2 linked regions of the Coturnix japonica genome follow. The protein of the gene in region 2 interacts with the protein of the main gene of each other region in a biochemical or structural test. Links are inferred from orthologs where the notes say so. Each region holds a gene or a part of one and is shown on either strand. Other genes may lie near its edges.

Region 1 (4,300 bases), on a different chromosome or scaffold from region 2:
CATTCCCCAGTGCACTCCTTGGCCAGGGGTGATGTGTGGGGCTGGCTTTGCTCCTCCTGCTTACAGTCTGGAGGGTCCCAAAGTTCCTGGTGTGGCAGCTGGGATGAGTTTGTAAGGAAAGAGGATGGGGCAGATGGTGTCGGGACAGATGGTGCTGTTGGGCTGCTGAATGAGGCAGTGAGGAGGCAGAGCAGTGCTCAGAACTGGGGCCACCCGAAGGGACAGCAACAGCAGCAGCTGTGACCATCCAGGGTCAGTGTGTGCTCACACTCGGGTCCACTGTACTCGATGGGAAGGCTGCTGTCGGGGATGGGCTCCTTTCGGGGGGGGGAACCGTCCCTTTGCCACCAAGTTAAGGCTGATTTTGGAGGGGAAGAAACTCTCCAGGAGGCGGAGGAGCTCCACGTCCCCGTTCATCTGGCCGCCTCGTCAGCCCCTTTGGCCGCCGCTCTGCACAATGCGGTGTTATGAACTCATAGGCGCATCAACCGGCATCAGCCGGCCCGGCCAGAGAGACAATGGAGCGCCAATTATAGGCATCTGAATGACAAAGTGCTCCAATTACCCTTCTCTTGGAAGCGTGCGTTCTCCTTCTGCGCTGCTTTGCCAGCCCGTGTTGGCACCCAGCCCCAGCTACACGGGTGGGATGCTTGGCACGGAGGGACCCTCCCAACACCCCCCAAATGGAAACACCCCCTTGGAAATAGGAGTGGGGGGGAGCAAAGGGCTCTCTTTGCAACAGGGACGGCTCCAGGCAGCAGCGATGCGCGTGGCAGAGTGGGGCTGGAGCTCTCCATGCTGCTTCCTTTTCCCCAGCACCTGCAGCATGTTCTCCTGCTCGGGAGGGTTTGGGGAAGAGGGGAGCATCTGAACTTGGCTATAAATAGTGTTGGGAAGGCCGGAGCGGTGCAGCTGGGGCCGCAGCAGCCAGCTCTCCCACGCCGCCCGCGCCTGAGGCAGCTGCGAAGCAAAACCCACAGGGACAGAACCCGGTTACGCTGTTTCCTCTGTGCCAAACCGGACCCCCCCCCCCCGACCTCCCCTAGTTGTCCAACACTCCACGGTCCCCTCCCCGTAGGGTTGTCCTACCCTCCGTGTTTCTAAATGATGCGGAAAACGCACCTTCCAGCCCCAGATGCTGCACCCCCCCACCCCTCACCCCCCAAACCTCCCCGCCTACGTTTCCCTTTCTACATCTCAAGCGCTGAAACATCCATAAAGATTAACACGCTTATAAGAGGGGCACATGGTCTGCATTAGCCCGCTGAAATGTGCATGTTATTAACACAACTCCCGTTGACAAAGCCACAGGTATTAACACCATAAAGCATTTTGACAGCTGGACTGGGGTTGGGGAGGGGGGAGGAGAGGGGAGGGCACGGGGGGAAGCGCTGAGGGTGCGAGCAACACCTTTGAAAGCTTTTAATTGCTTTTGGAGTCGTTTTGGTGTTCCCTTGCCCTACAGGGGGTGGCCTTGGAGGAAGATGTGCGCAGCTCAGCACCATCATCACCCAAACACTGGCACGGAAAGCTGAGCTGCTCTGAAACGGGGAACGGCAGCAATGCTTCAGCTGGAGACGGGCCCAGCGGCAAGCCTGGATCCGAACGGCCCGCAAGGCTGACAGACGGGTTCTGTGTATTTTGGCGGAGCAACCTGTCTAGAAAAGGCTGAAGATCCGCATCCCAGCACTCCCCAAACTTTGGGCAGTGGGAGAGTCACGTCTGAGCCGTGTGGGTCCCACAGGGCTCTGCCTCCTCCCCTGACCCAGCTCTAGTCTGAGCAGTGCAGGTAAGGAGCTGTGGCAATGGGGTGCTGGGGATACAGCCCACAGCTGCGAGTGCACATTTGGACCTGCCCCGCTTGGGGCTCAGAGGAACAGCAGGTTTCCAACTACCCCAGATCTCTATGGGGCTGGATGGGCTTGGCAGGTGCAACCCTAAGGGCAGCCCAGACCTGTGGGGTTAGCTGTGGGAAATGGGGGACACCAAACCCAACTTGGAGCCATGAGCCACCCACACCATTCTCCCCCTCAGTCTCTACATGAGCCTGCTGAAGCAGCAGCTTTAATGCCCTACCCTACAGCGTCCTGCTGCCCACTGAGCCCTCTGGGACCCCACACATCCTCCAGCAGCAAAAGCCCCATTTCTGCCCCAGGTGGCTCAGTGCGTCCCCTTATCCCCTTTTCTGGGACTCTCCTTCTTCCCTGGTTTCCCTTGCTCTGAAGTTTTGTCTCCAGCGCAGGCTGAGGCTGTGCCCATCCCTGGGGCTTTGCCCTTCGTGCTGGGCAGTGAGTTTGGAGCCAGGAAGGGAAGGTCTGTGGGAGTCTTTGAAGGTGTGGGGTTCAGGAGGTGGGGGCACAGAGGTGGGGCTGCTTTATTCCCATAACCTCCTATGGAGAAAAGGGAAGGCAGAGCTCAGCTCGGTGTCAGCGGAACATGAGGGGCTGAGCGAGAAATCCCTACGGTGTTCCCCCCACCACTCACATCACCACTCCTCTCCCTATGCACCCAAACCTTCTGGGACCCTCCATCCCCATACAATTGACACTCCCACTCCCGATACCCCCGGGACCCTCCGAGCAGAACCCCACAGTCCCATGGTACCCCTCCATCCCAGCAGGACCGGGACAGTCCGTGCTGTCCATGCCCATTCCCCTCTGTGTCCGGACCCCCCCCGGCTTAGCCCTCAGCCCCTCACTCACCGTCGGCAGCAGGAGCAGCAGCAGCGGTACGAACCCGGCCATGGTGCTCCGGGGCCACCTCGCATCCCCCGGGCTGCCCTCCCTCTGCCGCCCGCCGTCTCGGCAGCACCAGAAAAGGGCTGCAAGTCCCTCCTCCTCCTCCTCTCCGCCCCCGGAGCATCACGGCGAGCAGCCGAGCCAGCACCCTCCTCTGTCGGCACACAAAGCCCGGACCCCTCCCCAGCACCCACCGCCCACCCACGAAACGTTTTCGGGTGTGTTTGGTCTCAATCCAGCCGACCCCTCCACCCTCCAATGATTCTCGTCCGTCTGTCCCCACACACTCTTCCCTGTCGTCTGTCTGTCTGCCTGTCCGTCTCTCACACACCCACGTCCATCCATCTCCGCACACCTCGCTCCAGCCCTTCACCAGCACGGTCCTCATGATGGGTGAGCAAATGGGTTCGTTAATTATAAGAACAGAGCGAGGCTCCAGGCTGTAGCTGGGATGGGGTGACCAGATCCCCTCTGGCTGCACAGCCAAGAGACAGCATCCCACAGGTAACATCCCCAGGACTCAAACTCAAACTCAGCATTGTCACAGCAATCCCGGTGACAAAGAGAATTTCCCTTTGTCACCGCAGGAGAGGCTGCAGTGCACAAAGCCACCTGCTCCTGTTTGTATTTCCACCCGCAGGTGTAAAATAGCACATTGACATCCTTCCTGTCCTACAGCCCCAACGTGTGCTGCTCCCCAGTGCTTCCACTCCATCACAGAGCTGCTCTGTCCCCATCCTGCCCAGCCCCAGCCCCGTGGTTGTGAACTCAAGCTGCGTGTCAGGGAGCGGAGCTGGAAATGTCATGGCCTTTCCCCAGCTCAGTTTGGCTCCTGCCTTGGTGTGTCAGCACCAAAAACGCTCTTTGTGAGGTTTGTTGGAAAAAATATGCAGCGAGTTTTGTGTGGCTTTGGTGAGAAGGTTTGCTGGAGGCTGCCCAGAAATGCTGGCGCCGGGGTTGGGAGGGATGAAGGATTCCTTCGCCCCCTGCTTACGTCACTCTGCCCCCAGTGCTTTCACCTAGCATAGGATGGAGCAGTGGTGTCTGTGGGTCTGTCTCTGTCACCCTGCTGCTGTCCATCTCTCAGCTTTACTGTGTTGGGATCACGATGTTGTCCTGTTGGCAGACACAAGCTGGATTCCTTCCTGAGCAGCGAGCTCCTAACCTTAATGACTCTATGAGTATATGATCTGTGATGCTTGTATGGCTGGCAGCTCCTGTGGGCGGCTTTGAGGAAAGTCCCTCTTTAAATAAGATTAACCCAAAGCCAAAGCTGCTGTTTGTTCTCCAATGAGGCAGCGTGGGAACACATGTGAGCCACATGGTGATGGGTTCAGGGCCAGGTGGGGACAGGGCAGCGTGCACAGAGACTGGATGTGGGGATGGGATGGGATGGGATGGGATGGGATGGGATGGGATGGGATGGGATGGCTGCCACCCACCATGAGCCAATCATCCCTCACCCTTTTCAGTGCTTGGATGATTGGCAATGGGGCAAAGCTGCTTGTGGACATCTGGCAGAGCTGGACACAGCTGAGGGAGCAGCTTGGGTCTTATGACAC
Region 2 (3,500 bases):
GCAGCCTCCAGCAGCCTCCATCTATCCCACCTGCCCTTTCGGGACGCACCACATTGCTGATTTGGGGCAGATAAAGCCCACGCTCCTTCCCAGAAGAGCTCAGACATCTCATGTCACAAGGGCAGATGGGATTTGTCCAAGTTCAGGCTGCCTATTAGGACAAATATGGGTATTACATAGGAGCACCATGGGTGACAGGCTATTTCTGGTTGGTATCTAAGGTAGAGCATAGCTAAAACCATTATGGTCACAGTACTGGGCACAGAGGAACACACCGTCCTCTTCTCAGTGCCACGAGCAAGAAGTTGCACAAATGTCCCTGTATAGCAGACCCAAAGTGAGTGCTAGTATTCCTGTAGCCTGGAGAATGTGCACATCTGTTTGGGTGTGGAAAAATGTGGGACAAATATCTAAAATATCTCTAAGAACAATATTATGCTGGAACACCAGCAGCAGTAATACTTTATTAGGTAACTGCCATGTGTTGACTAAATCAGCCATATGCTAGGGAACAAATCATCAGCAGAGGCACTGAAAACACCATCTGAGATTGCAGCGAAGGGCTGGCATTGTGTTCCTCTGTGAAGAACCATTAGGTACAGACAGGATGTAAACAGGAAAAAAATAATAATAAATAAAACCCTATCAATACAGGCTCCTCCCTTGTCTTGGTGCTCTGTTTGCATGACATGCCTCAGCTGGCCCTGAATTGCAGCGTCCAGCCAGCAGGCAGCCTCACACCCACTGGACAAACAGGGCTTTTCAAGAAGAAGAATCAGGCTCTGCAATTCCACTGTGATTTCCCAGCATGTCCTGATGTTTTTCTGGGTTTGGGTCAGTCACTGTTGACTTCAGTCACTGACTTCACCCCTTCCTGCTCAGCTTTCTCTAAGCAAAGTTTGAAGCAGCACTAAAGCTTTGTCTTTACTAGGATGCACTGTAGAAAATGCAGAGCCCTGATATGTACCACAGTCCTGTGTGGGTACTTCTTATCTCAATGAAATAAACAGCTGTGGCTGTATTTGTGCGCAGGGCTTAAGAAACCAGCAGGACAAGCCAAATAGACTAAAGAGATGCTACAAGTCTCTGCATCATGGGGATGATATTCTTCCTTTGGACTGGAAGAATTAGGGATGATAGAATGGTTAGGAGTCCAATGCCTCTCACAGAGGAAGTCCTTACTGTTCCAGCTACTTTAATTTACATAAAAGAAGGCTGTGGGTCGCTGCTTGCTCACATGCTGCTCCTACTTGAGCAGCCATCATCATCTGCACAAGGAAATAGAACTAGGTGTAGCTCAATAGCTTGGCTATGCACAATTCAAAGAGTAACCCCTCGTTCAGCAGCCAAATTGAAATCAGATGGGTCACTGCATCTCTAAAAAGTTCGCTTTTCCAACAGAAATGTTAATGGAAAAGGTTTGCAGAACAAACTCCAGGCGCAATTCAGACATGCCAGAACAGCCTCAGCCTATCGTGTTTATGCATAATACCCGTTATTATTATCCCCTTGTATAGAATGGAGGCATAGCAATGCCAGCAAAGAGCTCTGTCCTGATTTTCTGCCATACTTTTTTTCTCTGAGCTTCTTAGGTTGCATATTTTACATCTTTCTTTGTATTTCCTGTCCTTCTGGCAAAGCATTCTATGGGATCGTGGCCCAGACGCAAGCAAATGTATCTGGGATATGTGGTATTTTCCTGAAGATTCCAAACTGAATCTTTTATTATTACATTAGTAGAAAATAATTAAGAAAACAGCTTCAAAAAGTGGATTAGTCTCACTGACAATGCCAGCAGAAGAATTAACATTTTAGGGCATGCCTTAAGACTGTTGGGACTGTGACTCTTGCTGATGTGGAGGTATTTTACAGGCTGTTTTAGGGAGTTGTTTCTAACTTCATTCTGTATTTACCTACTGGACTCCTCCATGGTGCTCTTTGCAAAGTGTTCACAGTTCCCACCCAGTGCAGCCACCTGAGCTTCCATGGAGATGCACATCAGTACCAGTGCTGGCACTGCAGCCTTTGTGATGTGGGCTATGACTGTTACCACAATCCTTTCAATACCACAAACACAACCGCTGTACGAAAGCGGAGGATATTTAATGAGCCCTGTGACTTCTAACTCAATTATCTCTCATTGTAAGAAATCATTTTCCACAAAGGGCCTGTCTGGAGGCAGAATATGGGAAGGGGTACGTGGGAGCTCCCCTATTGGCCAAACAATAGCTAGCTAGAAGATAACAGTGATGCAGCTTATTTAATATGTCAAAGAATTAAGCATTTCCAAAAAATAAGAGTATTAAATGCAACCTGCCCTTATCTTCTCTTTTCAGAAGACAGATCAATTGCTTTTTAATCCTTCCCTCATTTGTTCATCAGATCTCTTGCTACCTGCTCTCATACAAACTCTTCCCCTGGTAAAGATGTTTGGACTGCTGTGTGATGCTGGTAATTCAAGGTTTCATGGTTCCTCTATGTGTTCTGTCCTTACCTCTGAGTATATTGCACAAAAAGCTGCTCCTGAGGAAGGTCTTTATTTCATCCAGATGCTGAGCTGGGGTTGGCTGCAGCATGCCATCGGGCCACGTTGGCTGCGTAGTTCAGTCTGGGAGTTGCTTACTCAGTGTTCAGCTAGAATTAAAAGTATGTTTCAGTAAATAGCCAGCAAATACATGATTTCAGTACCCTTCCCTACTGCATTGCAGGAGTACAGGGACAAATCCACTCTCAACTCTCTGAGCTGTGCCTTTTTCACTGGTAATTGTCTAAAGTGCCAATCTTGTCTTTCACAAGCAGCATGACTGTAAGACAAGATACCTTATTCAGCTCCTTTACAAGACCCTTCTTAATTATCCACTGTCCCCAATCCCTCTCAGGCATCTTACAGGCTCACTGTAAGCAGGAGTAATGCAGCATAAACAAAGCAATACTTGCTAATGTAGCTCAGTTTGCATAACAGGTATGGACAAATGAGTATTCAAACCTCCCATCTTCATCTTGAAGGCAATTCTGGTTACAAGTGATGAGACCGCATGTTGTCAGTAATCACTCAAAACCAGAGACAAAACCACTGGATGGTTTAGGTTGGAAGGCACCTCCAGAGGCCATCTCATAGAATGGCTTGGGTTGGAAGGGGCCCCAGGGATCACTGAGTTCCAAATCCCCACCACATGCAGGGCCACCAACCTCCATATCTGTCACCAGCCCAGGGCCCATCCAACCTGGCCCTGAACACCTCCAGGGCAGCTGGACAGACCTCATTGCCCTCTATGAAGAACTTCCCCAGTATCCAATCTAATCCTTCCCTCCATCTGATCAACCCACCTGCTCAAGTAGAGCCACCTGAAGCAGGTCTGCCAGGACCACACAGGCATTTATAATATCTACAGGATAGTTCTGATGGAAAGAAATAAAGAGTGCATATGAGACATCACACAGGATATCCAGTTCTCATAAATCTGAGACCTCCCAAGCTCGTGTGATGTGCTCATTGCATT

The links. The genes of interacting proteins can lie anywhere in the genome.
Region 1: the proteins of NGF (region 2) and NGFR form a complex in vitro, tested with the Homo sapiens proteins (2 studies listed by BioGRID and IntAct, with this or other methods). The link is inferred for Coturnix japonica from reciprocal best matches to the Homo sapiens genes NGF and NGFR.

Annotation. Positions count from the first base shown.
Region 1 is NC_029542.1:2,822,223-2,826,522, forward strand, and holds the start of NGFR (tumor necrosis factor receptor superfamily member 16), read right to left. Parts: upstream 2,801-4,300; 5' UTR 2,745-2,800; coding exon 2,703-2,744; exon of another isoform or gene 1,466-2,702; intron 1-1,465. UniProt on the Homo sapiens protein: Low affinity receptor which can bind to NGF, BDNF, NTF3, and NTF4. Forms a heterodimeric receptor with SORCS2 that binds the precursor forms of NGF, BDNF and NTF3 with high affinity, and has much lower affinity for mature NGF and BDNF.
Region 2 is NC_029541.1:3,979,246-3,982,745, forward strand, and holds part of NGF (beta-nerve growth factor), read right to left. Parts: intron 3,400-3,500; 5' UTR 3,328-3,399; intron 2,635-3,327; 5' UTR 2,495-2,634; intron 152-2,494; 5' UTR 113-151; coding exon 1-112. UniProt on the Homo sapiens protein: Nerve growth factor is important for the development and maintenance of the sympathetic and sensory nervous systems.